Drosophila melanogaster: one gene and its partner. The protein of the gene in region 1 purifies or fractionates together with the protein of each later gene. This does not show direct contact. Each region holds a gene or a part of one and is shown on either strand. Other genes may lie near its edges.

The links.
Region 2: the proteins of Kat60 (region 1) and kat80 purify together in Drosophila melanogaster (affinity purification with western blotting; one study listed by BioGRID). This does not show direct contact.

Annotation. Positions count from the first base shown.
Region 1 is NT_033777.3:5,227,656-5,244,254, reverse strand, and holds the start of Kat60 (katanin 60), read left to right. Parts: upstream 1-12,045; 5' UTR 12,046-12,186; coding exon 12,187-12,198; intron 12,199-12,941; coding exon 12,942-13,262; intron 13,263-13,629; coding exon 13,630-14,233; intron 14,234-14,426; coding exon 14,427-14,548; intron 14,549-15,418; coding exon 15,419-15,978; intron 15,979-16,064; coding exon 16,065-16,263; 3' UTR 16,264-16,599. Other genes in the region: CG33293 (uncharacterized protein), read left to right, coding at 3,691-3,951; CtsF (cathepsin F), read left to right, coding at 1-417, 4,636-4,763, 5,058-5,801, 5,861-6,042, 6,099-6,364; rtp (retinophilin), read left to right, coding at 6,996-7,023, 7,082-7,382, 7,589-7,856; Mms19, read right to left, coding at 8,221-8,412, 8,527-8,949, 9,017-10,462, 10,521-10,870, 11,081-11,464, 11,529-11,613.
Region 2 is NC_004354.4:16,261,755-16,278,353, reverse strand, and holds kat80 (katanin 80), read left to right. Parts: upstream 1-2,173; 5' UTR 2,174-2,238; intron 2,239-2,436; exon of another isoform or gene 2,437-2,600; 5' UTR 2,601-2,787; coding exon 2,788-2,821; intron 2,822-3,662; coding exon 3,663-3,790; intron 3,791-3,852; coding exon 3,853-4,070; intron 4,071-4,538; exon of another isoform or gene 4,539-4,741; coding exon of another isoform or gene 4,742-5,829; intron 5,830-6,125; coding exon of another isoform or gene 6,126-6,834; exon of another isoform or gene 6,835-6,950; intron 6,951-7,257; exon of another isoform or gene 7,258-7,403; intron 7,404-7,773; coding exon 7,774-8,115; intron 8,116-8,239; coding exon 8,240-8,375; intron 8,376-9,012; coding exon 9,013-10,080; intron 10,081-10,148; coding exon 10,149-10,282; intron 10,283-10,350; coding exon 10,351-10,440; intron 10,441-10,504; coding exon 10,505-10,579; intron 10,580-10,638; coding exon 10,639-10,873; 3' UTR 10,874-11,347; downstream 11,348-16,599. Other genes in the region: Prosalpha4 (proteasome alpha4 subunit), read right to left, coding at 1,045-1,462, 1,528-1,757, 1,835-1,936; Mfe2 (peroxisomal multifunctional enzyme type 2), read right to left, coding at 4,742-5,829, 6,126-6,834; CG12507 (uncharacterized protein), read left to right, coding at 11,860-12,326, 12,527-12,974.

The DNA of each region.
Region 1 (16,599 bases):
AGCACGGAATCTTCAGAAACAACAACGGACCAGGCGGTGAGTGAGCCCCCGATCACGCTGGTCCACGTTCTGAATCCCGGCGAGCGGGAGTATTTGTCACCCAACCTGATTGGTGTCCAGAACATTGCGATGACCTTCCTGCCACTGTCGATGAACTTTGTGAATATCATCGACGCCTTTCGGGAAATCACCGCCGGAGTGCGCTATGAGATCCTGCTAAACGCGCTAGACACAAAGGCAATACAGCCGGCGGAAGCGGACATAGTCTGCCGCCTGGTCATCCTGGAAAAGCCTTGGCTGCGCACCCAGTGGGGCGACAAGCACCGCGAACTGGTTACCTCCAATTGCACCGACCCAGCGGTGAACTCGGTGGCCGGAGATCCGGCAGAGAAGGCGCGACTGCTTAACGAGAAATATGTGAGTAATAGCATCTTTAATGGCGGTCAGAGGAAAGAACTGAGCGACGCAGAGATGGCCAATCTGGAGTCACAGATACTCACTAACCTGGGACCTATGAGGCGGAAGGTCAGTCTGACCAAAACCGCTTCAGCGGCTCCTGTTCGTGCACCTTCTCCTGCTGCTCCTTCTCCTGCCGAGGCTGCCCCTCTGGATTCGGCAGCTCCTGCTGTATTAACCGCATCTATAGCAGTCACCAAGCTTAGTCCACCTGACGCCACTAATGAGACGGCCACGGCAATTAGCATTGATAATGTGGAAGAAAAGGCAGAAGAGGTGGAGGACAAGCACGAAGAGGAGGTCGTAGCCACCACCACAATCGCCACGGAGCTGAACGAAAATGAGAAGCGTTGGCTCGACGATTTCCTATCGGTGGGTGCGTATGACTTCGAGAAGAGTCAGGAGAAGGGGCAGCAACAGGAGGAGGCCGGCCGGGAGCAGAAGGATCCCGAGGTGGAGGCTACTACCATACCGACAGCATTATCATGAATATTCTCATTATCATCCCAGACACACACACACACACTCACACACACAGCCAGCCCCATCGTTCAGAGTCTCTGTCTTTCTCATATAAATACTCAGCCCACTCATTATACATACTCACCCTAATGCGAACAATAAAAAAGGAAAATGTTATTTAATTGAATTTATTTAAGCCTGCCTTTTCACCTGATGACGATGGCGATGTGATGATGATGGTTGGGTTCGTCGGCATGGCAGAACACTTATTTCACCTTAATAATCAAATGAGTTTCCGCTCTCAAATTACGGCCGCAATCTGTTTAACCCGCCGTATCTTAGCCGTATTCGTGGCACCTGTGCAGGGGCCATCTGCACCTGTCTATATGTCTTGGCTGTGAACTGGGGTTGGGTTGGCCCCAAGTGCCGGTATGTATGAGAGGTTAAGTGGGTGGAGGCTCAGGATTCCCCTCCCGCTCGCCGTGTAGTGCCCGCGGTGTCGACAGAAGCTGAAATACACAGAGTGGTGCGAGGCAAGTGTTCTCATTATCCTTGTGCTCTACTTTTTACAGCAGTTGGCTCTGTGGTGCCACGCACAGTGGGTCTGGGCGATTTGTCTCCGGCGGTCGGTGGCCACTTTCCACCCGACTTCGCGTCGAGAGCATAAGGGGTTAAGTAATCAATGACACAATCTGCAATTTTAATGGTGGCGACGCTGCTCTAGAGCGTGGGTTTTCCAAGTGTGAGCCGTTTGATCGCAATCCATTGATTGGAAATTTTGTGAGCAGGAGTATCTACATTGTACCATATTGAATTTAAACTGAAGGGGCATTTGGTCTTTACCGGATTTAGGAATTAAATAGCCACTGCGGGGAGTGTAACTTTTGACTTCCAATTAATAAATCCATTATTTAATTACTTTGTTTAAATCCAGCTGCCGAAGAGGGAAATAAATTACATTTGAACGCGATAATTCGCTTCAATCTTCGTTGGACATGTTCAACAATCGGAAATTCCTTTGCCAACATTATTTCCAACCCATATAAGTGCCTAATGAGCTCCTGGAAAAGTCATCGCGGAATAAATTAATTAAGTGCTTTGAAAACGAGAACCATTCAGTTCAGTTGCATTGCTGATTTACGGCAACTGTCAGAAAGTATAGCGCCGCGTTCAGCACTTCACTGTCTATACATCCGAATGGATTTCACGGACCATTGCACACTGCTCCCACCCACAGGAGCCACATACTCCATGCCCAGGGTTCTCCTCTGTTGCCCCAGGGTCGTGGAAACATCATTTACGATATAATTCTTATTGAAATACACATTTGAATTAACAGTTCCCCCCGTCTCGATGGAATGAGATGGGATAGGATGCGATGGGATGGGCTAAAATGGGTTGGATAGTAGGCCAGGCCAGTTGAACTGAGATGAGGCTGGAAAAGGGAGTGCTTAGCAGGCAGCTTAATGAATTCATGTTCGGACACAGTATGCACACATCTATAGGGATGACCACGGACTCCCAGTTCCAGCGACGGCCTCTTTTTGTGTTCCTGTATTTTTAATTATACACACGTCGTAGCCATTACATTCCATTCGGTATTGTTGTCGCTACATAGGTGACCTCCTGCACTTCAAAAGTATTTGCACTGCATTTCGGCTTGAAAGTTTCTAAAGCCGCACATTGGAATTTTTGAATAAATAAGTATATATGGATAACTCCCTCCAAGGGCAAACAGTAGTATAGAAGATATAATTCGTTCTTTTCCTCCTCAACTTACATGTTTTCCTAGCCCTTGTAGGCCATAAAATGTTTCGAGTGTGGTTCCACCTGCAATCCTTATTCGCATTCGCCATGCCAGTTGCCCGGGTGTGACAGCAGGAGCAGACATTTGGCTCCTGGCTGTGGGTGTGGATTTGGCAGAGACTGGGGCTCCGGATCCTCAGAAACCAACTCCCATCAACGGCATCAACATATTACTCGTACCATCATCGATGCCAGGCGGCAAACGAATATCCAGCCGAAATGTTTGGTTTAATTGGTTTTGTGTTCAGCATTGAATGGTTTATGGGCCGCTTGTGTCTGTCGATGTTATTGTTGGCGTATCCCACATTCTGGGGGATGGGAGATGCCTTTGGACCGCCATGTTCCTTGCCGCAAACTCTTCCAGCCACGTGTACTAGAACGATGTGTCGTTTTGTCAGATTCGGTAATGTAAATTCAGACATATCCTTGTTTTACCTACATTCGCATATAACTTATGTTCCCTCCACTCCTACCCACCACTGCTCGTGGTGTCGGAGGTCTGATGTGGTGACAGCTGTGTGTCTGTTTGTAATGGATAAGTGTTTCCCTGTTCCGTAATTAGCACAAGATTAGCGAACTCACAGACAGCAAACAAAGGGCTGATTTGGCTTGTCTTTTGGCGTGATGCGTGGAATGTATGGGTGGGATATATTGTATAGGATTAATGGAATCTTCACTTGTCTGTTTCCCATTCAAGCCTAAAGAAATAATGAAGGTATATAAAAGGAGGTAAGGACTACCTGCAAAACATTTCGAAAATAAAGGTCAAAGTAGGGCCTGGAGTCGAGCTAAGTTGTCAATGTCGTTTGCGTCCCAGTCCAAATTCAGTTTACATTACTCGGTTACCTCAGTCCGAAGCCACTAGACATATATTTTTTAATATTTTGTAAGGTGCGTAAATACTTAACATTTTTTTTTAAAGTTTATTGATCGATAAACACGGTTTGTGCAGAGATTCCTTCCATTATGGAACGATTCGCACTGACAACCTGCATTCGCCGTGTCTGGATCATGTCCGGATGGCTGCGCCAGGAGGCGGCAATAGCAGCCGGCATGTTGGTGGTGCAGCGACACCAGGTTGAGCTGAGGAATGAGGAGGAGGAGGGGCTCAAAGTCGGACAGCAGACTGCATCCAGTGGCGGTGACGTGGGCGTGGACTCGCAAGGAAGACTCCGCCGCGTGCGGCTGCTAGACGACTACATTGTGCCCTTTGAATGCGGTCTTTGATTCTCGATCCCCATCTCCTGTTCACCGATATGGTTCTGGGCCACAGCGCAGTTAGTTCATTTCGCATTCGAAGCAGTTGGCATTCAAGTAGTTCGATTCGTGAAACCGCTTCTCCAAATTTTGGTCAGACGGAATCTTCATTGTATGCGCTCTACGTGGACGGAGAACGAAAACAAATATTTTAATCGAAGATATAGCCCCAAAAAGCATGTTATTGTAAAATTTTATATTTTCACGAGTAGTTCGCGTTAATCTCGACGTTTTAGCGACATTAAAATTAAACAATCAATGGTGAACACTTTTTATGGTTTACTGAGCTTATAAATCGAGATTGGAATATTTCCGAGATTCCATAAAAAGTTGGAACTAGCCTGGAATTAAATGGCATCCGTTTGAAAGGCTTTTAAATACCCATTACTCATGAAGTGGAAGTGGAATCTTGATGGAAATGTGCAAAAAATAAAGAAAATTCGAGAGGAAAAGTTCATTTATTGCAATTGCTGTGTGTCATGTGCTGCATCTGCGTCAGTAGAATGCGTAAACTACATTTTCTAGCATTTCTTGTTTATATGAACAGACGGATGATTGGACCATGGCCATGCAGTTACTGTTTATGTAATTAAGCTAGATTACTATGTTATCAACATTGTCCCAGATTTTTATGCATGTATACATTTTTTGCAGGTCCATCGCAGCAGACGCAGCGCGAACGATATCTTGGGTAGGCATAAGCCTTACGATGAAGAGGCGGCGAAGGCGCAGCTGCAAAAATCTCTGGACAAACTGACCGCGGGAGAGGGTCCCCATTACAAGTAAGCTTGTATCCATTAATTCAAGTGACTAAACCAATAATGTAAGAGCAAAGGGTATGCTAGATTTAGCGTAACAGAGTTACAATCTGAGTTGATCTGGTCATAACCATAAAAGCTAGAAAGTTAAGACTAAACATGCAGAATGTAGAGAAGTAAGGTTCAGAAACTATTCAAAAATGTAACGTACACACTTTTGAAGAACTTGTAGGATTTTCTTCATTTTATTATATTAATAAGCATTAAGTAGATTTGTCTGATTCATTATAATTGACTCGCTCGTTTGCTGTGCTCTAGAATTGTGAAAGTATACTCAGCCTCGCGGCAAGTGGATTCAGGCATCTTGACCCGCATCGATGCGGATCTAATCGACGGGTCGGAGGAGCAGCACCGCTGTATCGTGGATATCTGGACAAAGGTCTGGGTGAGGAAGGATGAGCACGAAATCACCTTTAAGTGCCGCAACCAGCCGGTGGTCCAGGCCCGACACACGCGATCCGTGGAGTGGGCCGAGAAGAAGACGCACAAGAAGCACAGCCATCGCTTTGACAAGGTGGACCACCTCTTCTACAAGTTCCAGGTGCGATTTGGCCGTCGCTACGTAAGCACCGCCGAGCGCCAGATGCGCCTGCGCATTTTCCGTCAGAACCTGAAGACTATCGAGGAGCTAAACGCCAACGAGATGGGCAGCGCCAAGTACGGCATCACGGAGTTTGCTGATATGACCAGCTCGGAATACAAGGAACGCACGGGACTCTGGCAGCGTGATGAGGCAAAGGCCACTGGCGGATCGGCGGCTGTCGTACCGGCTTACCATGGTGAACTGCCGAAGGAGTTTGACTGGAGGCAGAAGGATGCTGTCACCCAGGTGAAGAATCAGGGATCCTGCGGTTCATGCTGGGCCTTCAGTGTGACCGGCAACATCGAAGGCCTGTACGCAGTGAAAACGGGCGAATTGAAAGAGTTCTCCGAACAGGAGCTGCTGGACTGTGATACCACGGATAGTGCCTGCAACGGCGGCCTCATGGACAATGCTTACAAGTAAGTTACGAGGGAATGAACATTACGATGTAGATACTTATGTAATAATTCCTCCGCAGGGCCATTAAGGATATTGGCGGCCTAGAGTACGAGGCTGAGTACCCATACAAGGCCAAAAAGAATCAGTGCCACTTCAACAGGACTTTGTCCCACGTTCAGGTTGCCGGCTTCGTGGATCTGCCGAAGGGAAATGAGACCGCCATGCAGGAGTGGCTTCTCGCCAATGGTCCCATTTCGATCGGTAAGTCGATGCAGAAAATTAACCCCAAAGCCCACTTAACCAGATCATTTCTCTAGGCATCAATGCGAATGCTATGCAGTTCTATCGCGGCGGAGTTTCCCATCCGTGGAAGGCCCTGTGCTCCAAGAAAAACCTCGACCACGGTGTTCTAGTTGTGGGGTATGGCGTCTCCGACTATCCCAATTTCCACAAGACCTTGCCCTACTGGATTGTGAAGAACTCGTGGGGTCCGCGCTGGGGAGAGCAGGGCTATTATCGCGTTTATCGTGGTGACAACACTTGCGGCGTCAGCGAAATGGCCACTTCGGCTGTGCTGGCCTAGACTTGCTTTGAGTCCAATTATATACAAGCATACGACTATATCTAGGTTAATAATTTAGCCAGTAACTTTGTGTACAATTAATTCTGTTTCCATGTTCTTCAACCGTCACGATAAGGAGTCGTTGAGTTTCAAAGCTTCGCCTATATAGTATAATCATTTCAGACATCTGTAATCTCACGAAAAAGTCTGCATCCACATATTCCGCTTTAATTGAAAATAACAATAAATTGTACAAGAATTAAAACCTGGTTGGGTTTATTATTGAATCCATGACAGCTCTGGCCGCAGCAACAGTTGGTCAAGATTGATGGTTGGTTGGATCAAGAAAAATGTTGAATTTATGTGAGATGTATTCAAATTATTCGATTAAAATGGTTTGATTAAATATGGGTGCCAGAGTATTATTGGCTGTTAAGAAATATTTATAACTGCTTCAATTACTGGAACATTTGACCCAGTGATTTTGATGATTGATTTTCAAACACTTTGTCAGTGTGTAGAAGTGCAATATGTTAATTAGATTTAGACCAGGGCCGTCGCACCGTGGGAAGCCATAGAAAATGAGTGTTTCTGGTGCAGAACCAGCCAGCTCAGTAGCAGCTTGAAGCGCATCGCGGGCGGTAGCGGAGCAATGGCCATGGACGACTACGATGATGACAGTAAGTGAACACAGACAAAAGGATGCAGATACAAAATTGCGTAAAAATCATTACCCAGTGAGCAGCGTGGGCGTGACCACGGCCCGAATCGAGAACCAGCACCAACAGCACCCCCACCAGCAGGGTCAGCATGGACACCACCAACAGGGCCAGGGTCAAAGCCAGTACAGCGCAGGGGCGGTCAAAGTGGGCGGATGGCGATACGAGGACGCCAGTCGCTACATCGGCGAGTGGAACCAGCGTGGCCAAAAGCACGGCATCGGGCATCTGCAGTTCGCCGATGGCACCCGCTACGATGGGCAGTTCCAGGAGGGTCTTAGTCAAGGAGTGGGCTGCCTCTGGTTCGCGGATGGAGCAAAGTCAGTTTCAATAATATTAGTGATGTAAACCTAAACGAAATATTGTAGCACTTGAAAACTATTCTTGTAGCCACTACTCGGGGAGTAAGAGGAAATGCTAGTATATATATTCTTGATCAGAAATGGTTTAGCTATAATTTACCTAGGGTTTGCATCCAGTGAAGAAAATTGTATATGATGATTCATTTTGCACATTTTTAAGACAGATACGAAGGCGAGTTTCATCAGGGCTGGTTTCATGGTAATGGGATCTTCTGGAGAGCCGATGGAATGAAGTACGAGGGCGAGTTTCGAGGCGGCAAGATCTGGGGCCTGGGATTGCTGACGTTCCAGGACTTCACGCACGGCTTTCCCAGAAACGAGGGATTCTTTCAAGACTGCCGCTTTATGAGACGACGTCGATGTCCCGAGGTGGTGCAGCGTGCACAAAAGTGCGCTCTTATGGCCCGTTCCCAGTGCGAACACCCATACTGAACAGACACTTCAGATTGGTTACCAGTTGGTATTGATAAACACGTACAGTTTAAAAATACAAATTTTAGTAACCGACTGTAAGAGTCTCAAGTCATAAAACAGAAAAAGGTGCCTTTAAGAAAAGAAATAAGCATTTCTTTCTTAACATCTTAAACTTTAATACATTTGCGCATAAACGTTCGTAAATGTATCTAAGTAATATAAAATGCATACAATTTCGCGTTTACTTTATAATTTTGCTTTTTCCAAATTCTTTATCAAAAATTCTTCAACGCACCCTAATAAAAACAACAAGAAAATTATGAAGAATTTGTGCGTGTGCTTATTGGATTATAATATTAACAAGAACGGAGTTGTTTCTCTGCTAATTCGGACTAGGCGCACCGACCAGGTACCACGCATTCCTGGCCTTCACCGCTGTGTTCCGCACCAGACGCTTGGGATCATCCAAGGCGGCGGCCAGGGCCAGAGTAACATCGACTTTGTGGGGCAACAGGACGAAGGTAGGATACTTTGTCACATCGTAGAGCAGCTGCAGCGCCGCAATTCGCACTTGCTATAAGAAAGAAAATGAGTTTAAGTTTTGTGTTCGACATTTTCCTTTACAAGTTAAGAAACCTCCTCAATTAACTATCAAATCTTTATAATAATATGTGCATGTTTAACTTACCATGGTATGCTGAGCCTTGTATTTCGACAGCTCCAGACAGCTGGGTATGAGGTGGGCCAAATGCCCTTGGAAATACGTGTCCTGCTGCGCCACAAACTTTTCACAGATGCCCAATGCAATGCACAGCGACTGCGCCTCGTTGTGCTCCTCCAAGCTCTTGAAAAGCAGCGGACCGAGCTGCTCAATGTTTAGCTTAATAACCGCCTGTGGCGTGGCTTTCAGTACGTAGACAAAAGCCTTCAAGTGGTGCACACAGTAGTTGGCAAGTTTGCTGCCCATTTTTCCCATGATAGTGTGGAAAAGCTTCTGCTTGTAGAGGAATTTAACGACAGGCAAATCCAATTCTGGGTACTCGGCGGCAATGATGTCGAATCCCAAGGCAGCGGCAGTGCTCAAACTGGGATGTTTTAGTAGATCCGAGAGCTTTAATGAGACAATATTATTTCACGAATAAGAACTAGAGAACTAAAATGGCTATACTAGTACATACATCACCAACAACATCGGCAGCCTCATCGAATCCTGCGACTACTAGGCCCTTCCCCACCCATGCAAGGATCTCCACCGCCCGAACATCGCCCTTTTTAATAGCCACCTTCAGTTGCTCCGTGATTTTTTTGACCTTCCTTAGATTAGCTGGGTTCGACTCCATCTTGTTGACCATGCTACAGAGCAGGTGGTGAGCGATTACACGCAACTGTTCGTTGTCCGAATTAAGCGAAAGCTGCGTCAAATCGGTCAGAAGCCGCTCGAAGTGGTCATCCAGGGTTATGTCTTTATGAAGGTAGCCCAGCAGGCCCTTGGTAATGTACAAATCAGCCGATTGACTCAGATTGAGTCCAGGAAGATACTCGCTTACTATAGCGCTTTGTTCGGAGAGCGGGAGCTGTTGCGTGATACGACTTAAAGCGCCCGCAATCTGTTCTAGCGACTGCATAGACAGACCCTCGGTCTTCTGGCCCAGTTCGATGAGCTTGTGAAGAAGATTGGACTCCTGCTGCACGTCCACGATAAAGCGCTGATCCGCTAGCAGGAGCAGTTTGTTTAATGCTTCCAGAGCCAATAAACGGACGGGCTCTGCAGTAGTATCGTTAAACGTCTGTGTCATAACCAAATCTAGAATGCGTTGAGTGAACGCTATTTGAGGCATGAGCGGCAATAAATTTGTGTATATCTTTCGTTTGACAAATGTGGAGAAAATCTCGAAATTTCGCACGCAAACATCAATGAAATTTGACTGCACCTCCACCGGTTGCAGGGCTCCAAGGCTAACCGTCAGTGTGGTGAAATCGATGTCGATGGACGGATGGCTGACAAGCTGAACCAGAGCTTTGTAAATTAAAGCGCGTTGTTTCTCGTTGAGAAGAGGAGCACTTTCGTTAAGCACCGAAAGGGCCGCCTTCTGCAACTCCAAGTCCTCCTTCTTGGCATCGAACTCTTCCTGTTCAATTAGGCGTAGGGAGGCGATTACATCGTCCTGCACAGACTCGCGTATCGTGGTGTCCAATTTCTGGAGAGAGCCACGCAACGCAGATAGCTTATAGACTTGGCTAACTATGTAATAGATCTTGATCCGCTGCTCAGAACTAGCATCTGCGGCCTGCAGCTTGAGCAAAAAGCTGTTGAGGATTTTGTCCGCTGCATAGGGCGCATCTCCCGATACACAAACTAAGGCGATCCCGGTGGCAGGATGGAAGAGCCGCTGATTGACATCGCTGAGATGCGGTAGAATTACGCCCAGAATAGAGCTCTGGTAGCTGTGGCTTATATCCGGTATGTGAGCAGCTCTCTCCAGGAGCGCAGACAACGCCTTAAGGGAAGCTTTCAGTATCTCCTCATTGTCATTTCCTGGAAAAGTCTCTGTTTTCAGAGCCTGCCATATCTGATCGAAGTGCGGCTCCAGAACGGAAGGCGGGAACTTCACGGCAGCTTGGTGCTGTAACAATAAATAGCATGTATAAAAAGAGGCATTTCAAAATGTTACGTTTTCTTGCCAGCAGTTCTATGGAGTCCAGTTTGGCAACCAGCAACTCACTCTCCAGCTTTTCTATGGCCAGTACCACTGTGCCCTCAGCGAATTCGTTGTTGGCTACCAGGCAGTTAGTCAACTTCTTGGACAATTCATCACGGGTTATGGCCGCTGGATCCTGCTTGCTGGGATTAAAGTCGATTGGAAAGTAACACGCAAAGATCTCAAACATCTCTTCGGCCAAATGCAGCAGCGGATACGTTGACAAGAACTCGGGCATGAAGCTGAAAATGATGTCAAGGTTGCGGGGGTCACGCTCGCCGTCAATGGAATTGATCAGGCCGTAGACGAAGTCACCGGCCATCGCTTGCAGCTCTGTATCGGGAAGAAAATTGATTTGTTTGAGTTGTAATATTGTGTAATATTTTCTAAAAATAACGGAAATAAAAGGTACTAAGATTGTCGCAAATATCTGTTCGACTAGTTAAAATCATCTAATTATAACTTTTTTGCACACTGACTTGTTTAAATCGGATTAAAGCAATGTCAATGTATCTTTCATGCTAAAATGAAATCAGGGCTCACCGTCCTGGAAGTTTTCCGTCAAGTACTGGAAAATGTGGAACAGCTTGGTGCGGTCGCTCCGCGTCTGCGACTGGCAGGTGGTGTGCTCGAAGAATGACTGCAGAATCTGGGGAATCTGGGCGCGCGGTAGAGCTTTCATGTGAACCAGGGCGTCGATTCCATCGATAATGGCTGGCATTACGTTGTGATGGTCGCGCAGGCGGTCCATGTAAAAGGTGCTGAGGAACTCCAGCTGCCGCTCTTGCAGCAGATCCTGGGGCAGTGCTATCAACACGGCGGAGAGCAAGTTGGTTCCGGCCACACGCTCCTCCATGTCCGGAGAGGACAGGGCGAAGCCCAGTGCCTCGGCCAGAGCAGATATGTCATATGCCTTGGCGGTCAGATCTGGAGGAAACAAAGAATCTCTATGAGAAGGGCACATTCGACACGGATGCGGGTGTAAACCTGCCCTTGGCTATCTGTGTGGCGGAATTCACAAGCTTCTGGTCGCTTTTCAGAGCCTTTTCCAGGGTGGCGCGCGTGGGCGTTGTCATTGCGGCACCGTCGCTTGAGTGGTGTCTAAATTTAAATGAGTTTAAGCACGTTAAGCCGAAATGTTAAGAACCGATAACCGATGACTTGTCGTACTGGCCTTATCTATATCACAGCGATGCCAGACTGGTGTTACAGTAGTGCAAATGTTTTAGCGATTAATATAGCTTTTATTGCAGTGGCGCTCAGGGATGGTAATGTGTGGCTCGGAGACAAATTCTAGAACTGGAAAATATACTTACATATTGTATATTGATTTATAATCGATAGACACGATACGGAGATTTTCTTTTTATTTTCTTGTAATTCGTTGTAAATTTAGAAATATATTTTTAGCAGCTCTGGAAACAATCGATAGTCGCCGACTGTTGCACACAGGGAACGCAACAGGGTGGTCAAGTGTCCGCGCCGATGTATCGATAAGCCCCGCATCACCAGAGCACGCACATCACTAGTATTACAAACACAGGCAGGCAGCAGTTTATTTTAGCTACCGCAGCACCTTAAACTCTGAATTAAATAGTTTACGCATTCATTTTGCGCTCGGAACGCCGCGTAACAAAGCTAGTACACTAATGTCCATAACCGTAAGTCGCCCGCGAACTGCTCAGCTGCAATTGTAGGTGTGCGGCGGCGAGACGTCAGCGCTGCTGTTGTTGTTGCTCTTGTGGTTGCTGCAGCTGCAGACGCCCCCACATAGCTGGAAATAAAATAAGAAGCATAAGAATAAGAAATACGGTGAAGTGTCGAATGCAAAGTGCAGTTTGCTGTGTCCAGAGGCTTGCAATTAACTCAAATTCTATTTAGATCGCATTAATTCGACCCATTGTGCGCCCGTGTGCGTGTGTGCGAAAGTGTGTGTTGTGTGCCGCTGAAACCTGAGCTGAGTGTGCGTGTGTGTGTGCGAGCGTTAATTTTGTTGTTTTTACTATTGTGTTTTTTGTTTTTTTTTTTTTTTTTGCATACGACGATTTGAGTCGAGTTGAAAGAATCATTCAAAGCCAACAAGGTCGAACGCCTTATTCGGCTCATAACTACCTAATACATTTTCCAATCGGCATTTGGCCCACGTCCCGCCTTGGAGGCGGAATTGAAAATCGGAGCGCGTTGCGTTTAAATTTGGTGACAAGTCGGCGGCTGTGCGCCTGATAATTTATAATTAGCAGCTCACTTGGGTCGTTGCCACTGGCATCTTCTATTATTCGCAATTGTCGCCGGGTTTTCCACTTTATTCGCTTCTGGCTGGGAGGCGCACTTTCCATTTTTACCTGCAAGGCGAGCCAGCGAATGACGAAGTCGCTTCCGTTCTATTGTTCCCCTTCCCACCCAGCAACACTTGGAGAAACTCACGCACTCGAGCGCTTTAATTGGAACTAATCTCTGTCTCTCGTTTTTGGCTACAATGACGACAACCTGTTCCGATCGCCAGTTACTGCGAGGTGGCAAGCAAAAGACAACCACTTGCGTAGGAATGACCGTAATGGCCAAGACTACGTTTGAAGAAATATGCGAGAATGCCAAATTAGCACGGGACATGGCTCTGACGGGCAACTACGACTCAGCCTGCATCTACTATGAGGGCCTCCAGGGGCTGCTCGCCCGCCAGCTGAAGGCCACCGCGGATCCGCTACGCAAGGGCAAGTGGAGCATGGTAAGACATTCCTATCACCACCTCCAGATACTGTCAACTACCATGCCAATGAATGCGAATGGTGACGGTTATGACAAACAAAGGACTTAGTCATAACATCTTGTCAACGCCATTCAAAATTGCCCAAGAGGTTTTGTGTAAACGAGTTATCTAGATCGTTAACGTGCATATAAAGATTTAATTTAATCAGAACACTACCGAATGACTAAAATTTGAATTACAAAGTAATTTCTAGCACTACTGGCACAAAGTAACTGGCTAAAACTCCAATAGATCATAATAAACCAAGTATTTTCAAAAAGTTTAATATTTACCATACCGGACGATTTCATTGACATCATTTAACTAACTGATCTTCGATTTGCAGATCAACCAGCAGATTAGCCAGGAGCACGCCAAAATCAAGGCCATTCAGAGAACCCTACAAGACATCTCGCTGGACCTACAGTCAACCAAATTTGCACACAAGCTGCGACACCAGCTCAGCGAAGAAAGCACCACCAGTAAAGATCCATCTGCCTGGTTCAAGCCGGACCCCGACATTTGGACGCCTCCGCCCAAGGATCCAGATGTGTGGGGTCCGCCGAAGCCACCACCCACCACTCAGGCCGTTGGCCGAAGAGCCGCACCGAACAACCGCCGCACCACTCCGGCAACGCAAAACAGCCGCCCCAGCAGCACAATCCCGCAGAGCACTGCCCGGAATGGTCCGGCCTCGACACGCAATTCCCGCAACTCAACGTCCGCCACAGCACCGAGCGGCGGAGCACGCACCACCAATGGAAGGGCTGGCGGTCGCAAGCTATCCACATCGAACACCAACGAGGCTAGGGACGACGACTCCACCGCTGCAGGCAACAATGGCGGAGCGGCTGGCGATGGAGAAAACGGCGATCCGCAGGCCGCCCAAGAGGAAGAGCGCAAGTTTCAGCCCAACAACCACATCGAAGCCGAGCTAGTCGACATTCTTGGTAGGTGCCTAAATCGTTGCCGCAAGGTTTGCCTCGTTCAAAATTTGGTGATGTGCTAGTCTTATTTATTAAGCAAAGCTAATGCATTACTCTACTTGCTTTAAGATTTGTGGCTATTTCAAAAATGGTAGTAGTTATGAAAATTTGGGTCTAGTATAGCTACATTTATTACATGCCAACGCTCTCTTTTCAGAACGTGATATTCTTCAAAAGGATCCCAAAGTGCGCTGGAGCGACATTGCCGACCTGCACGACGCCAAGCGGTTGCTGGAGGAGGCCGTCGTGCTGCCAATGCTCATGCCGGACTACTTCAAGGTGCGTCACCCCCGCTGTTTGTTTTCTGTGAATCACATTCTGCCAAACGCTTATCTCGCGATGGGTCAACAAACGCGCTTTATTATAGTGCTCAGGGCAATGTGTATTTGATCAACTATTCTGAACTGTCACGAAATGCATCGCCTTGCAGCTTTATCCCTCTTAACTAGGTGGTGGAACTTGTCAACACATTCTACTTTTACTTGGGGCGGTTTAAAAGTTTCCATTGTTGAAATTATGCTGATTATGATGTACCTCTATCTATGTTATCTTATCAAACTATGTGTGCGTTCAAAAGAATATCGATCCATAATAACCTGTCGAAAAAAAATAAATAATTATGTATATATTATGTATATATATGGAATGCTGACCATGTGTTTCTAACGCCTTTAAGTCACATTAAAAATCACTGATCCAAACACCTGAGACTGAGCTCGATTGCTATGTTGACCGTGTTGTACCATATATGTAAGAATATTTGTTGTTTTCAAATATTTCCGTCCAACAAATATTTTCCCCATCTAAAATGTGGATACCATGAAATTTTGCGTGGGCGAAAGATGTTTGAAATGGGCATCAGAGAAGCCTACAGCACCATTTTTCGATTTACCATCTTACTGAATAAACAATAGCAAGAAAGATAGACTTAACGTGGATAGTAGATAATTAGATATTTATGTTTGATTGGAAGAAATGGTACTCACTTCTCCAATGTAGATTATTTAATTAATTAGAATTAGGCAAATGACACAGCCTAAAACAGTGGTTCAGATCAAAACAATCGGAAAGTATACAATTAATATATACTGAAAGTTTGTAAACATTTTAAAGCAAAAGTACATAATCACTTCTTGCTTTCTACAACAGGGTATCCGGCGACCGTGGAAGGGCGTGTTAATGGTGGGACCTCCAGGCACGGGCAAGACAATGCTCGCCAAGGCGGTGGCAACCGAATGCGGAACTACGTTCTTCAACGTGAGCTCGGCCACGCTGACGTCCAAGTACCGAGGTGAGTCGGAAAAGATGGTGCGGCTCCTGTTCGAGATGGCCAGGTTCTACGCGCCCAGCACAATTTTCATCGACGAGATCGACTCCCTGTGCTCGCGCCGAGGATCGGAATCAGAGCACGAGGCCTCGCGACGAGTGAAGTCTGAGCTGCTGGTCCAAATGGACGGCGTGGGCGGCGGAGAGGAACAGGCCAAGGTGGTCATGGTGCTGGCCGCCACCAACTTTCCTTGGGACATCGATGAAGCGCTTCGGCGTCGTTTGGAAAAACGCATTTACATCCCACTGCCATCGGATGAAGGTCGCGAGGCGCTGCTCAAGATCAATCTCCGCGAGGTCAAGGTGGACGATAGCGTCGATCTTACCTACGTAGCCAACGAGCTGAAGGGATATTCCGGAGCTGACATCACAAACGTGTGCAGGTGAGTTCAGAATACACTAATTTAAAATGGCGTAGTCAGTTCCAAATCATGTCAATGGAATAAAATGCGTGCTCTTCTTTTTCCAGGGAGGCCAGCATGATGTCGATGCGGAGAAAGATCGCAGGACTGACCCCAGAGCAGATTCGGCAGTTGGCTACGGAAGAGGTGGATTTGCCCGTTTCCAACAAGGATTTCAACGAGGCCATGAGTCGCTGCAACAAGAGCGTGTCCCGGGCAGACCTGGACAAGTACGAGAAGTGGATGAGGGAGTTCGGATCGTCATGATGGCGCTGCAGACGCGAATGGCTAGCGATTGTAGGAGTATATTTTTGAATAGCCTTAAACACGCGCTTAAGTCATTAAGCTTTTAAAGTGAGAACCGAACCGATCCGAGCCGAACGGAAGAGTTGAACATATTTTATATATAACATTTTGCAAATACGATACAATCTATATATTTACATATATACATTGAACCGGAGGCCGTTGGAATTAGAAAAGACTAACCGCTCTCAAAGAGGAAACACAAATGGAAAACTGAAATTGAAATTGAATTGCAATGAAGTCGAGAGATAGGCAATACGTTTATGTATACATAGCGAAAACCACCCACACACTCCA
Region 2 (16,599 bases), on another chromosome or scaffold:
AATCGGATCGCTCAACCGGTCGCTCCATCTGCAGGGAATACCAAAACGCCTCAGTTAAGTGGCGCGCGAATGAAGGTACTTGCGCTTAGCCACCAGCTGGGCACACTGCACGAGCCTGCATAGAGTTTTTTACGAAATTATCACAATTTAGGAGTTTTCCAATTAGAATTGGAATAAGTTCGTACTCTTAACTTGCTAACAAGTTGATTTTTAATGCAAAACTTTTCGCAGACAACTTTTCGACAAGAACAGTGCTGCCAGACTGTCAGACCGGCACCTTACTGGCGTGTTTTTATCACATTTTCTAATATTTCCAAGCTATTGAAATATTCCAAAGCTTTCTATCTGCACATTCTTTTTATATAGGTGTTCCCAGAAAATCGCCTTAGCATGGAGAGTCGTGCTAATACGGCGTTGCCAGACTGTCATTGCATTTCTTGTTGCTCTTTGCAAGAGCCCGCCAAATGAAATTTTTATTTGAATACAATTTATTTTTTTCTTCCCCCGTTCTTTTGCTTGTATAATATCCCAACTGGAAAATGTGTACTTTTCAATTACGAAACATGTACAATATATAGCAATAAAGTCCAGTAAAATCGTGGTATGTTTACAATTACTTTTTTGGGCCTGATGATACGTTGCCATTAAAGTGCAATGTCATACCACTAATGTAAGTTTTTTAACCCTTTATACCCCCCAATAGCTTGCCCATAATCCTCCCGTGAACAATCTTGAATCCCAAATGCAAGAACAAAGTTCGAATATTCAACAGGAGCTCCGCCTAATGTATGATGACGCATGTATTTTATACAGATCAAATATTTTCATACCGTTTTACAGGGTTCCGAAGAATAGAAAGTGGTAATTAAAAAAAGTATGCATTCGGTTCACCGAATTCAATTTGAATCGTTTTCCAAGTCAAATCAGGTTGGCTACAATGAGCAGACAGAATGTGGGCGGCGACACCAGATAGTGTCGCCGAATGCATGGAAAGCGATTCAATGCAACGGCCTTCCATCGAAGAAGTGTCCCAGCTGCTGGGTGTTACTTTTTCTGTTTCTTCTTCTCGAGCTCCTCCTCCTTCTCCTTCTCGATGATCTTAACATAATCGGTAATGACATCGGTGTCCAGCATTTTCAGTGGCTTGCCGTTCTCCATGATGGCCACCTCCAGATTGTTCTGGCCTGACTGCGCCACCTCGAGCAGCGCACGGATGGCCAGTTTGACGGCTCCGTGCTCGTTGGCCACCTCCTCCTCGCGGTAGGACTTCTCGAAGAACTCGCGCACAACCTTTGCCGATCGCCCGGTGGCGTTAGCCTTATACTCGTAGAAAATGCCCGACGGCTCAGTCTGGAACAGATGCGCAGAGCCATCGGCATCGAAGCCGCCAATAAGGCAGGAAATACCGAAGGGACGGCGGCCATTGCTCTGCGTGTATTTTTGTTTCAGCTGGGCAATGAATCTAAAATGAAAGGCCAAAACCATATAGAAGCTAATTTAGAGCGCAACTATTTCACAAATCCTCACCTGGTTATGTACTCGAGGGTCACGGGATCCTCGACATTGAGACGATGGCTCTGGCACTCCACCTGGGCACGATTGATCATGATGCGAGCGTCGGCCGTGAGACCGGCAAAAGCCATTACAACGTGGTTGTCGAGCATGCAAATCTTGCGCACCTTTCGATCCTCCTGCAGTTGGGCCACCGACTTCTTCTCCACGCCAAGCACAACGCAGTTGGCGCCGCGAACTCCGACCTGCGAGGCGAAAAATTGGAAAAGTCCATGTTTGTTTCGGTTTGGCGGCACTGCGAACGGTACTAAATTGCACTTACCGCAGTCGATCCCTTGCGAACGGCCTCCTGGGCATACTCCACCTGCAGGAGGTGACCGTCGGGAGAGAATATGGTTACAGCACGATCGTAGCGTGAGGACATCTTGTTGCTTTATTCAATAGCTGAGGTACTTGCAGAATATTAACTTATAGCTTTTTCCTTCTCGAATTCGCCAGGCAATGATGATGCTTTTTTGAGGAAATGCCGCAGTGTGACCGCAGCATGGGTTCGATGAAAATTACTAAATTAATACCGTTTCGCAGTGAACGATATATCGTTGCTGAAATCATGTATCAGAATCAATTCAATTCTTGTTACTTCAGTCTATTTAATATTCTATTCCATTTAGTCTATTTAAATATTTAATTTAATACTTTTGTAAACCGTTTTACAGCTTCAGGGCTGTAAATAATTTAGTAAAATATCAATTAATTTTTTTTCACATTATCTGTTATTATTGTTATTTAATAATACAAATTTATAATACAAATTATTTTCAATATATATATATATATATGTATTAATAATTATAACCAACGACTGTTACTTAAATGTACAAAATGCAATCGCTATGCCGGCCCTGGTAATCGGTGTTCATCGACAGCTTGCTGCAGCCCTCGTCGTCGCTGTAATTACAATGTGATGTGCATTTGTTTTTGTTAATAAGAATTGTCCGATTAAACATTTAGATTATCTGTTTTTAAACAATGCGATCACGGTGATATCGGTTCGTAAAGGTTTTACACACCGTGTGATTTTGTTTCAGTGCGTTTTGTTGTTCGTTTCGTAAATAAGTGGGCTTCATTTTGCCCAAAAAAGACGGGAGCCCAGACAGCTGATCACAGACTTTGGCTCACACCTGCTACAAAAAGATAATATTTATTCGAAAACCTGGCATTCGGATCGAATTTAGCAGCTGCCAGCGTATTTATATAAGAACAATTTGATTGATTATGGCGCTGCCCAGAAAACTGATATCCAAGATCTGTAAGTAAACCGAATGTTCGAAAGTACCGTTGTATATTCCCACACACACACAAGCACGTAGAAATACGACTGCATGTATATATGTGTGTGTGCGTGCGTGTTTGAAATCCTATCGTAAATTCTAGTGTTGCATGCAACTTCAGTAACTTTTAAAACAATACCACGCGTTCTTATAAACAATGCAGATATCCAATAGGAAAATCCCCAGGTGCACATATGTATGTATGTAGATACATATGAACATTGAGTGCAGCTGCAGCTGAATTGTTCGTTTTAAAGTAATTAATATCTTGTTTTACAACGCAATATCAATATCAAATAAACATCATACGGCTTCTTCAGACTTTAAAATAATATTTGTATATAGCCTTTAGAAAACTTCAATTCAATCCCAAGAACTATAGAAGTTCAAAAAGGTTTTAATCTGGGAACAAGTTTTCAATTTCTTTGAAATGCGTACATTTACGTACATATGTATGTACATATATACTGTACATATGTATGTATGTACATCGATTTCCTAGCTTTATTTTATCTGTTTTGCTTTTCAAAATACTAGTAATCCTTGTCATTCATAAATGTGGATAACGTAAAAGGTACTTATTTATTTATATCGACACAGTTTCCTTTGAAAAGATTCAAAAATCATTATAAAATTGTATTTATTGAGTATATACTAATACGAAAATATCATATTTTTATTATTATATATTTGTTGTAAGTTTTCCTTTTGATCTTGAAAAGCTGTTGTTTAAAGCATAGCTTAATCTGAACATACTAACTATATCATCATATCATGAAAACTTGCCGAAGAGGACTAACCAATTCTCATCCTTTGCAGACGATATAAAGGCACATGATAGCAGGGTCACGAGCCTTGATCTTGGCGAAACTGGACGAGTGCTGGTCACCGGAGGAGAGGATCGCAATGTGAACCTCTGGGCGATTGGTCAAAATGAGTGCTTTATGGTGAATATACTAACTACTTCCTAAATATATGTATGTACTAATCGGTGACCCTTTCCTTTCAGTCTCTGACGGGCCACAATCGTTCCATCGATTGCGTGCGTTTTGCTTATAAGGATAACTTTGTCTACTCCGCCGACGACATCGGTATAATCCGAAGATGGGATCTGAATTCACAGAAAATCTACTCCACGCTAAATGGCCACATGAAGAGTGTTCGCACTCTGGACTTTAACCCGTCTGGAGAATATGTGGTGTCCGGGAGCAATGATACCACCGTCAGGTGAGCCAAGGACCGATATATAAATAGTCAGAGTAACCCATGAGTCATTCGGAAGCTCTAGTTTCCTTATCAAGTGGCAGATTTAAAGTTTATTCGTTGATTGAAAAGGGATGGCGATATTCTCCCTCCCTCTTTTAGCTGTGCTTAATCCTATAGAATCGCGTATTTTGGGTTTAATAATCTACACAAAAGAAAAATCTCATATTTAGAAATTAGAAATTTTATATCGGTTTAATGCACATACATATTAGATGCATTGTATCTATATGGTCTTTTCTTAGATATCACTTGACCTATATATGTGTAAAACAAAGATAATATGACTCACTACATTGCACAAAAGGGGACAGGCTGACAAAGATAATATCACTTTGTGTTGTTTAGCTAAAGTTGATATTTCTTTTGGGATCTCATATATCTTATCTCTCAGATCTATTACATCCATGATCTTAAACAACATTGCATTTTCAGTTATGTGATGTTTTATTGGGAGTTTTATAAAAGTGTTACAAAAAAATACTTCTACCACCACGGGCGTTTAAACAATTGCATATGTATAGGCATATTTGTTATAGTGTATGTACAAAAAAAAACGGACGCGAAACGAATTATAAAGTCAATGATAATCCATTGCGACTAAGGCAGACTATGTGTCTCTAGGTGATCCGCGCTTACAGCTTGGCCTGTGAGCTCTTCAGGTCGACATAGGCGCCGGATATGACCTCCTTGCCGGTCTCCACGACCACGGTGCGGAAGTTGATGCGTGTGCCCTGCTTCCACAAGTCCACGCGCAAAGTCTGGCCCGGAATTACGGGTCCGGAGAAGCGCACTTTGACAGCCTTGAACAGAGCCGGGTTGTTGTCCGCAAACTGAGCGAGCACGGCGCGCACCGAGAAGCCCAGTGTGCAGAGTCCATGGAGGATGGGTGTCTTGAAGCCGGCCAGCAGGGCCATCTGGGGATCGATATGCAGGGGGTTCTTGTCGCCGGACAGACGGTACAGCGCCGCCTGGTCCTCGCTGGTCGTATACTGGACGGTTGCGTCCGGTTGGCGATTGGGCGCCGGCTGCAGCGGAACTACACCAGCGATGGGATCCTTCTTGCCTCCGAATTTGCCAGCGCCGACAATGAAAGTGGTGCTCTGGTTGCGCACCAACAGGCGGCCACTTTCGTCGAACGACTCGCTATTGGTGACGACCACGGCGCCGGATCCCTTGTCCATAACATCGAAGACCTTGCCGTTGGTCAGCAAAGTGCCACTGGTGGGCAGATCGTCAACGATCTCTAGGTACTGTTCGCCGTGCAGAATGTTGCTGAAGTCCACTTGGCTGTTGGGCAAAGCCTTGCTGAGCAGCTTGTCGGTGGACATTTGCAGCAGAAGGCCGGGCAGAACGAAGAAAGTTGGAATGGCGGCGAAATCGGCATCGTTTTCGTACAGGAAGCGCATGTCCTTCGCGTTTTTGACGGATGCCCCAATGCCCAGGGCGTAGGTAATAAGCTCTTTGCTATTGAACTCGAAGGCATCCTCGATGGCGTCGCCGCCGCCTTCCTTGAGCTTCTCAAGCACTTCCAGCAGGGTGCCGGAGGCCTCTGCGATGGCACCCAAGTGCTTGGCCTTGGACATGTCGGTCACATTCGACCACACATCCTTGACGTACTCAATGGTCACGGGGTCGTCCAGCGAAGGACGCAGCACAGCGCCCTTGCCGCGAACCATGTGCAGCTTGGTGGCCCAGCCGGCGGCACTCTCGATATAGCTACCTGTGGATCGGAGAAGAGGGAGAGAGAAAACGTTTAATAAACCCTATATATACACACATGTACACATATTCCTGATAAACGGTCTAAGTTCAAACGCTATCAGTATGAATTTCCCTAATCAGGCAGATTATGTTGACCATTTGGATTGGACTACTGGACATATTAAAGATGACTTAGCAGTGGTTGGCCAAAAATTGCATAATTTTGTAGTTCTCAAAGGGTTAAATTGATACAAATTGATATGATAATCAATTCTGAGATAATGCAATTCTCGCATAACTTCGGATCCCACTTACCATTATCCTCGCAGGACTCGTGGCACAAGTAGGCCACTACGGGAGCAATCAGCTTGGGCTTCAGCTCGTTGAAGAGAATGTCGGGCAGAATGCCCTCGGTCATTCGACTGGCGGCAGTTGGCACGATGACGTTGCAAAGAACATTGTTGCGGGCTCCCTCGATGGCAACCGTGTTGGCCAATCCGATGAGGCCCATCTTGGCGGCAGTGTAGTTGACCTGCCCGAAATTACCATAGATGCCCGAGTTGGACGATGTCATGATGATGCGGCCATAGTTCTGCTTCTTCATGTACGGGAATGCCGCCTGGGTGCACTTAAAGCTGCCCTTCAGATGGACATCGTTGACCAGATTCCAGTCCTGTTCGCTGGTCTTCACCAGACTCCTGTCGCGTAGAATGCCGGCATTGTTGACCAGGATATCGACGCGTCCGAAAGCTTTGATGGCCGTCTCGATGACCTTTGCCCCATCGATTACCGAGTTGTAGTCGGCCACCGCCTCGCCGCCGGCCTTACGGATCTCATCCACCACAATGTCGGCGGCCCGCTGCGATGCTCCATCGCCGGAGTGGGTGCCACCCAGATCGTTGACCACCACCTTGGCGCCACGCTCCGCGAAGAGCAGTGCGTACTCGCGGCCCAAACCGGCACCAGCTCCCGTCACCACCGCCACACGGCCATCGTAACGAAGTTTTCCATCGGATGAGGACATGGTCTGTCTATTGGTCAATAGCAATCGCAATTTCTGGTTTCGCTGCACAAATCCGGTCTCTGCGGCAACGCTTTTTCGGCTGTAAAACACGAATGAACCGATGAAAATAAACTGGTTGGCTAATAATCGAACAAGAAAGGAGAGTAGCACTACTTTTCAATCGTACTTAATCTCAAGCGATAATGCTATCTGCCCTGCCCTCGCATATGTGAGTGTAACTCTGGACTCTTCGGCTGAAGAACGTTACCCAGGCGATATGGTCCAAGTCCAGGGGTTCACGGTTCATAGTCAAGTGCTTTTCGGATGGCACCGAAATCGCCGAAATCCGAGATACAAGATACATTTGCACAGTGACGACAGCACAGTTATTCGAACCGCGTGAAATGGCCCACACACACACACATTAAACAAGGGTTAACTTACAGTTCTCGTAGATTCGCCGTATGATGGTATGGTATGCCCGAATATGCACAGATTAACCCAGTATCAGTGGTACAAAGTGCATCACTATTCGCTGCCGAGATAATTTTGCAATCGTTTAATCGGTTCAACCCATGAAAATGCACTAAAATATACTGCCCGCATTCATACGTTTGTGAGCACTAGAAAGTAGTGCCGTCAAAATGCTGGAAAGCAGTGCATCGCGGACGTAAACCTCGGTTCGGAACTTCGCTAAGCCGTAGCAAAGACTCCAACCCGTTTTCATTTTCCAGACGATTAAATTTAAAAATGAACAATTATGGAAATTACACTTATCTTCCACATTTCAAATTCAACTATGTCTCTTTATTTAACATAGAAATGTATAAAACAACAATAAATTGAGCAACAATAAATGAATTAACTAGGAGATTACATATATTATTGAAACTTTATGAATTACATATGCTTTGTTGCTTATTTAGCAAACTATTAACTTTCATATGTCTGCAATCTCAGGCTTTGGGACGTGCAGAACGAAAACAACTGCATTAAGGTATGTCGCGGCCACATGTCCCACGTGAATTCCGTAAAATTCTCGCCGGATGGTCTTTGGATTGCCTCTGCTGGCCTGGAGGGTTCCATACTCATCTGGGACATACGGAAGAGCAAACAGATAATGGAGTTCATAGCCGATCCGCCGGTTACGGCTATCACATGCGTGCAATTCCATCCGTTTGAGTTCCTGCTGGCCGCCGGTCGCGTCGATGGCACCGTTTCCATTTACGATCTGGAACACCAGCAGCTCGTCTCGCAGACCACGCACTTCTATGGCCAGGCCATCAGGTGTATAACCTTTAGGTGAGTCCTGCAAAGAATAATCCGCAATCGTGAATTGATTTATGAAAAGAAATAGTAATATAGTAATTTTGCCAAAAAGTGCATAAATTCTAATTATCTGCATGTTAAACTTTATTTATTTCAGTGACAATGGCGAGTGCCTTTTTGTTGGCAGTTCTTCGGGCATTTCGGTAATTGGATGGGAACCGGATCGTGAGCTGGACCATATAAAAAGCACCTGGTCCTCCTTGGCGGACATGAAAGTGGTCAACAATAAGTTGGTAAGTGAAAGCACTTACTCATTAAGCGAAGCACCCTTCCAAATCTCGTCATCCCCGTTATCTTTTTTGACAAAAATAATCAGTATTTTGGTCAGAATATTCTAAAAAATGGTCCAAATATGGAGTGTCATACCTCGTTGAGTTTGTTTTTTTAATCCAAATCGATTTGCATTCAAATTTGGGAATTCTAGGTTTTTTAAATTTTTTGCAAATTTTGATGATAAAATTTTGATTATAAAAAAGGCGAAAAATTGGCCAAAAACTAATTTTACAAAATCCGTCCAAAAGTGAAAGGGGTGGTTAGTATTGGTAATTAGGAGCACAAAACGGTATTTCTTTTGGCGGTGTGGCCATTTTTAGTCAAGTTATACCCAGAAAACCAATCTTAAATATTGCATTTTATGCCAAAACTGGTTTCACTGATTTTATGCGAAAAAAATAATCGGTATTTTGAGCAAAACATTAAAAATAATGGCACAAATATGGAATGTCATAACTTGTTGAGTTTCCGAATCAATTCGCATTCAAATTTAGGAAATCTAGGTTTTTCACTTTTTGAAAAACCAATCTTAGATCTTAAATGTAAAATGTCTACAAATGGAATATCCAATAAAAACCATTGCACTTCCTTTTGTAGATCTGTGGTTGTCATGAGATCGACACCGTTTCAATCAACACCATCAGTCTGGATCGAGTGATACCATTCTATCAGCCGCCAAACTCACTACCCAACTTTAAGCACAACTCGACGAACCGAAAGAGCTTTACACGTGGCAACCAGAAGTTCAGGCTGTCAGTTGGCGGTGCCAAGCCGGCACAGGTGCAGGAGGAGCACGAGGGCGACAAGAGTGGATTGTCCTCGCCCAACTATAGTCTGGAGGTTGTGAACGAGGCGGTGCTGGAGTCGGCGGAGACTTCTCCAATGTCCTCGTTGCCACCTGTCCACTTGGCTTCGATGGCCGGATCGTCGGCGGACTTGGCGCCGCATCATGTCGTATATGGCGGAGCAATCGATTCTGCCCTAAGGCAGGGTAAGTACTCCAGAGTGCCTGATAATATGGCCAGCTATGGCAGTAGTTACGGGGCCATCGATACCCGCCTGATGTCCTTGAACGAACCCAGTTCACTGCACAAGCCGGACATTTACAATCTATATCCGCTGGACAAGAACGAGGAGGCGGATGTGCAGCAGTTGGAGTTCAATCTGAACGATAGCAATCCGCCAATACTCAACAACTATGATAACTACGAAATGGCCGAGGACTTTCCGGTCAATCAGAACCTGAACTACATTACCAATAACTATAAGCCAGTGCCCGCAACCTCCACGATCAACGCCTCGTCCAAGTCGATCAAGAAGACCACTACCACCACCCTGCACAAGAGGACAACGAACAACATGGCCGGCGCGAAGCAGACGTCCACGGGCATCTTTGGTGGCAGCAAGCTAAGCCAGGTCTCCTCGGTCAGCTCCATGGAACTGCACAAGCTGGACGACAACATGGTACTGAAAAAGTCCTCCTCCTCGAATGTCGTCAACAAGAACAAGCGGCCAATGGGCTCGGCCCAGAGTCAGTTCAGCAAGGAGAACAATCAACAGAAAAATATCAATGTGGAGATCATCACAAAGCCACCGATGCGATCCCGCACCACCCTGGATATGCGTACGTCGCACCAGGCTAAAACTCAGGAAAAGCAAATTCACGTGAGTGCTTAAAAACTTCGCTTGGTGCCCTTTATTTAATTAATTAATTAATTAATTAATTATTCCAGCAGCAGCAGCCAATGAACAATCGCATTATAATGGATGATCACGACTTCGATATGCTCTCGAGATCACACGAGGCTGTGCTGCAGGAGCTGAGCAATCGTCAGTCTAGCCTGGATTTGCTGCGGCACGCAACAAGGTAAGTATTGGTTAAACGGTCTATTTGAAACATTCGATCGATTGACACATCCATTGGTAATCATGTAGGTCTCACGATGTGCTGGGCGCATTAAGGCAGGCAAGGAGCTGTGGCAAATCCATTTTCATAGATCTACTCGGAGCCATACTGGAGAAACCGTAAGCATAATATTATAAATATTAAAGCGACAGCGATAACAATAGGAGTTTAATCCCATAACAGGTCCTCGTGGAACTTGGACTTCTGCATGTTTGTGCTGCCAGAGATTTACGAACTCTTGCAAAGCCAACACAAGTTGTAAGTATGGATAAACATAAACGAAAAGGTAGCCCAAGTAATCCCAATCTGTATTTTAGCCACTTTACGAGAGCCTGTGATACCCTGCGTATTATATTGTCGAACTTCTTGCCAACTATACAGGAGAACCTCGATTCCTGGGCCGCCAATGGCCTGGGCGTCGATGTGACACGCGAGGATCGACAGAGGAAGTGCGCCGAGTGCCAGCGGTGGTTGTTGCAAATCAAGAACCTGCCCGAGAGCACACACTTTGGGTCCACGCTGTCACAATTACAAAACATAATTATTTTCTAAGGGCAACGCATATCCAGCTGTAGATGCTCCTCGGCGTTCAAATCAGCTCTTGAACGGTACAAAGATCGTCAACAAAAGAAAACCACCAGCTTCCCAAAGCCTGATTACGAAATCCAGTGTCCTGGGGAGTGGCCTCATTTGTCGCTCTAAGCTGCCAAACTAAGGAATTTTAAACAATCGTTTCCGGAACAGCAGCTCTAAGACGAGCTCTTCCGAACGCTGTTTATCCAACATTAACATTAACCTTTCGGCCATCTATTCATCGTCATGTTGCGATGAAGTCAACTTGTGAACTAAGAAAGTTACGTATGATTTCTTTCGACACAAGCTAATTTCAGCAGACCATGATGATTGAAAAATGGGCCTTAGTTATTTAATGATTTGTAATATTAATTTGTTATGCAAACTAATTTATATAATAATTATTTACCTATACCTAAGTCCCAAAATTTGAAAATATATAAAAGAAAACATACGTGAATTCTATAAACTATTTGCGATCAAATATTCTTTTAGGTAAGTACACTTTTCAGAGTTTACGACTAATCTAAAAAAGTTCATGGCGATCTAAAGCAAATGTACATATATGTGTATGGTAAAGGTATGTTGGTGAAAGAAAGAAATGAATAAAATTAGATTGTTAAAAGGTAGCTGATTTATCTGTTTTTGTTAGATTGCAACTAAACTAATGGCTTTACATGCATTTAGCACACAGAGTAGTGCAATCAGAGAAGTTCTATATTGTTTATATTATTATGCTTATTTTTGTGCAAGCGGTGAAATCGGGGAATGTACTGCGAGTATTGCGGTTCACTGCTCCAATAGAATGACCAACAAAGCAGCCAGAACAAACGGCTTTGAAGTTCAACTTACCATGTCGCCGAATCATTGTAGCGTTTAATGCCCAACCTTTCAATAGAGTTTTGCAGCGATTAGTGGAGCACTTCGACCTGGCACTCCGAGCGCATCGGCTGTACTTCTGCACGATGTCCGAGAATAGAGTAATCCATATGTGGATGCGATGTCTGATGCCACTGCTGCTGGCCAACTGCATTGCGGCGAATCCCAGTTTCGAGGATCCTGACCGTAGTTTGGATATGGAGGCGAAGGACAGCAGCGTGGTGGATACTATGGGCATGGGCATGGGCGTCCTGGATCCTACGCAGCCAAAGCAGATGAATTACCAGAAGCCGCCATTGGGTTACAAGGACTACGATTACTATCTGGGATCTCGACGAATGGCAGATCCCTATGGGGCCGATAATGATCTGAGTGCCTCGTCCGCCATTAAGATTCATGGCGAAGGCAATTTGGCTTCGCTAAACAGGCCAGTCAGTGGTGTCGCCCACAAACCACTGCCCTGGTATGGCGATTATTCCGGCAAACTGCTGGCCAGTGCTCCCCCGATGTACCCGTCCAGGTCCTACGATCCCTATATTCGCCGCTACGACAGGTGAGTGTGTGTTCAAGTAAACCGAAACTATCGCAAGAAGATAGTTCATCTGGACAGTTTTTTCTCAGAATCTGATAATTAGTTTAACAAAAAAATGAATATTGGAAAAAAATGATTATGAAATTAATCTTAACTGAATATGAAATTCTGCTCTTCTCTATTATTGTCTTTACTATTATTAAACTATTAAATTTTTGCAGATATGATGAGCAGTACCATAGGAACTATCCACAGTACTTTGAGGACATGTACATGCACCGGCAACGTTTCGATCCGTATGATAGCTATAGTCCCCGGATACCGCAGTATCCGGAACCCTACGTTATGTATCCCGACCGCTACCCGGATGCCCCGCCTTTGAGGGATTATCCGAAATTGCGGCGCGGATACATCGGTGAACCCATGGCGCCCATCGATTCCTACAGCAGCAGCAAGTACGTCTCTTCGAAGCAGTCCGACCTGAGTTTTCCGGTTCGTAACGAACGCATCGTATACTACGCCCACCTGCCGGAAATCGTACGGACACCATATGATAGTGGATCACCGGAGGATCGAAACTCGGCGCCTTACAAGCTGAACAAGAAGAAAATCAAAAATATTCAGCGGCCTTTAGCGAATAATTCTACCACGTATAAAATGACATTGTAGAAGGGGATTTTAGAATGTAAGATCCATTTTTTTTTTTCATTATTCGTATGCATTTGTATTTGTCACCCATGGAAATTAGCACCAAGTTCAGTGTACCAGCACATTGATTAAAAATATCGAGGTGAGCTTATTAGCAATTTTGATGATTTTTCATAGATTTGCTTTTAAATTGTTTCACTCACTTCTCATAATTCATAAGGTTCTTTTTTTTTTGTTGATTTATAGGATCAATATAAGCGCATAAACTATACCATATTTGAATAATAAATTTTTTTGAAAGTATAATCGAACACAAAAGGAATTAAATTGACTGCTAATAGCGTATATTAATTCTAAATCCAATGAAATTATAAAAAAATAATACAATTATACTCTAAAAGTTGCCCCACTTAAATTGAATTAAGTTATTCTCCTCCACTCAAACGTGTAAAAAAAAAAAACTTTCAAAGCAAATAAAGCCCATTCACAACTTGCCAGGTTTGGTTTCTTTTGACCAAGTTTCATTTACGTATATGGATTTATTGAAGACCCGGCAAAATTACGTCCATCGGTTCGAGATCCCCAGAGTCTCGTTAATTACGCAACGCCATTACTTTGACTTTTGTTTCGAACTAGGGGGATGTGGATGTGGATATTAAAGTTTGCGATTTGTGTAATTTAACTTTTTCGCTGTCTCTGCAAGCAAACAAGAAGGATTCGTAATTATTTACAAACATGCATATGTACATATGTATATCTATACTCGCTTCGTATAAACGAGTATGCTCACATGGTGTACACATGGAAGAAGGTCAAAAGGTCCATTCATCCTGGAGCTTTATGTGTGTTTGGGTCTTGGTCTCGTTTTCCTTGTCGTTTTGACACAAGAGGAGCAAAAGAGCTATTATGGTGCCCAATACCAGCGACAACAAATACTTGTGTAATGCATGAACACGTACGGCTAATTAATGTCCTTTTTTTTGTTTTTTTTTTTGGAGCTAAGCTTGTCGGCGAAAATCGGCAGATGTAGTTGCCAATGGTGTAGGGCGATTTGTCAAGAGGTTTGATTACATCAATCGAAACTCATATTGGTCATGTCACAAATTAATTGAAGGGTAATAATTAAAACAAGCAATACAAGCTGACTAACCCATACTTTTTTGCCCAAACTCCGTTTAGGCCCATCTTTAAGCCAAGTAGTTTTATGAACATAATAATCTTCAAAGTATGTTTGCAAGTAAACTATCTTCGTAACCCAAAATAAATAAACTAACTCTATCTGAAGATACAGATACCAAATCAAAACTTAAATTGCAGTTTCTTGTGTTAGGCAGGGTATTCCCATGTCTACTACATGATTAAGAAAGCCACGCGGCTGTCTGTCCTGTGTTTGTCCATTTTACGAGCTGTGCTTCGCTGTCCTTTCCTCCTTCGGCATTTCCGTGTTATTACTCACAACTTGACACGGACATTTTCACAGGTCACAGCCACGCACACATGAACTCATGCACACACACACACACACACACACCCATGAATCCGGGAGCGCAGGACAATTGCCGTCCTTGTGGGACATTTTGCATGACGATGCGAAGCGAAGGACTTGCGCTGGAATTGGAAATGGAAGTGAGAGTGAGGGGTGGCCACCTAATGAGCGCACACCACCCATCGAATGAAATGTAACAGGCGAGGATGGATTCCCACAGCACAGGTCAACAAAATAGATCTCACTGGAGTACCATAAATGGAAAGCAACATTTCGATAGTATTATGTATAAAATGTAAAGCAAACCTTAAATTATATTAATTAACTAATCAATTTGATTGACATTTCTTTTAGAGCCCAAATCATATGCACCTAGCTTCTTGCCCGCTGCTGTTCGTGTAGCCACATATATCCAAAGAACAAGGCAATTCGGCTGCTTTGTGGATCTCGGGCTTGGCAAGAAAAACAATAACAATGATGCACGCGATACTTAACAAACTTTTGCGCCGGGCGGCTCCATAATTAGAATCATTGAAATAGCCATTCAACGTTCATTTGCTCTGACAGGGAAATCGGCCTTTTCTGGCCAAAAGCTGAGCGCTGGAGCTGGATGCTTTAGTTGAGGATGTGCCTTTACCTTTGGGGGAACACGGGCTAACTGGCTGCCTGGCTCCCTGGCTGGCTGGAGGACCTCGATGGCCAAATGGCACGACATATGCCCCATGATTTTTGTGGGCGTATTCGGAGGTGTTGTGGCAAATGAGAAAACAATGCCCGAATAACGACTCTCCGATGTGCATTAAAAGATTTATTTCCCTCCGAATAAATGAAGTTTTTCTTTATGGCCCCGGTCTCGACAGTACTTTCCACATGGCTGGCACTGCCGCAGCCACTTCCGCCAACAGGATGCTACTGATTTTGGACCGTCATGGGGAACCATCTTGACCACCTTATGGCATAGGCGTCGTACTTTGATGGGACATAAAGTACGCTTGGAGCCATTCATTCTCCACTCCTTGCGGACAACTGTTTCCACTGTAATCGCCGAATAGTTAAATTCGCTCTAGTTACTTATTGCGTAGAGAGTGGAGAGTAATGCCTGCCTTTCCGCATTCACATGTCAACAAATCACCGAAAATTTATTTGTCTACCCCGGCTAGACTTGCACGTAATTAGGCAACCAAGGTACAAACGACATAAAGAAACCTATAAAAATTCCACTTCCCTATTAGAGTGTCAACGCCGGAGTGCCCAAGTTGAATGTCCTTAATTGATGGAGTGGCGCCCAACGATGGATGGGGATGTGCTCCAGGAAGCTAATCATCGCTGGAGTAACTCGCAGTTTCATGTTCACGAAATCACTTTAAAGAACTCTTAGGAGATTTTTGATAAAAAGAAAGTTTGTCTTACTGGACTCGATTTAAGTTAGGGGGCTGGTTTTTATAAGGTTTTGTAAGCCAATTGGTATTTGCTAGCTTAATCTCAATTCTCTAGTTTTTGTAGGTCGGACATGACCAGATCGGCTCAGCTTATGATCCGAACATAAATTTATATATTTAATATATAAATTATACATCTTACATAATATTCAACGAATCTAGTACATATAACATTTTACTTTTCGTGTAACAGGTACAAAAATCTCAATAAGAAAACTATAGATGCCTCTATTTGTACAAATGCTTTATATTTCAGCTATAACTTAATTTAAGCTAAAACTTAGAAGGTTTTCAGCATTTTTTAATGTGGCTTGAAAATATATTTTCTTTTTTTTCTAACTTAAAGGTCTGGTATTTGATTCGCTACACTTGAAGTGCAATGACTAACGTGCCAAAAACCTTCTTACTGATTAAATCAAGTAAATGTGGACTGAGTTGAAATACGAGTGAAATTAAATATGTATTATTTCGCCGGAAGAGCGAAGTGGAATCGTATTATAACACCTATGATTGACCTTCTGCATTCTGGCCAGCTCATTAATAATACTGCTCATTTGATAAATACAATTCGGTGGGATAAACAGTTTGTTTGGCCCTTGCCTCTGTATCTTTGTATCTTTGTATCTTTCGGATACATTCACGATGAATAACTGCTCACTTATTCTTGTTTGTAATTACCAGTTGGCCAGTCTGTCCCAAAGCGGTGTCCCATCTGAATGGG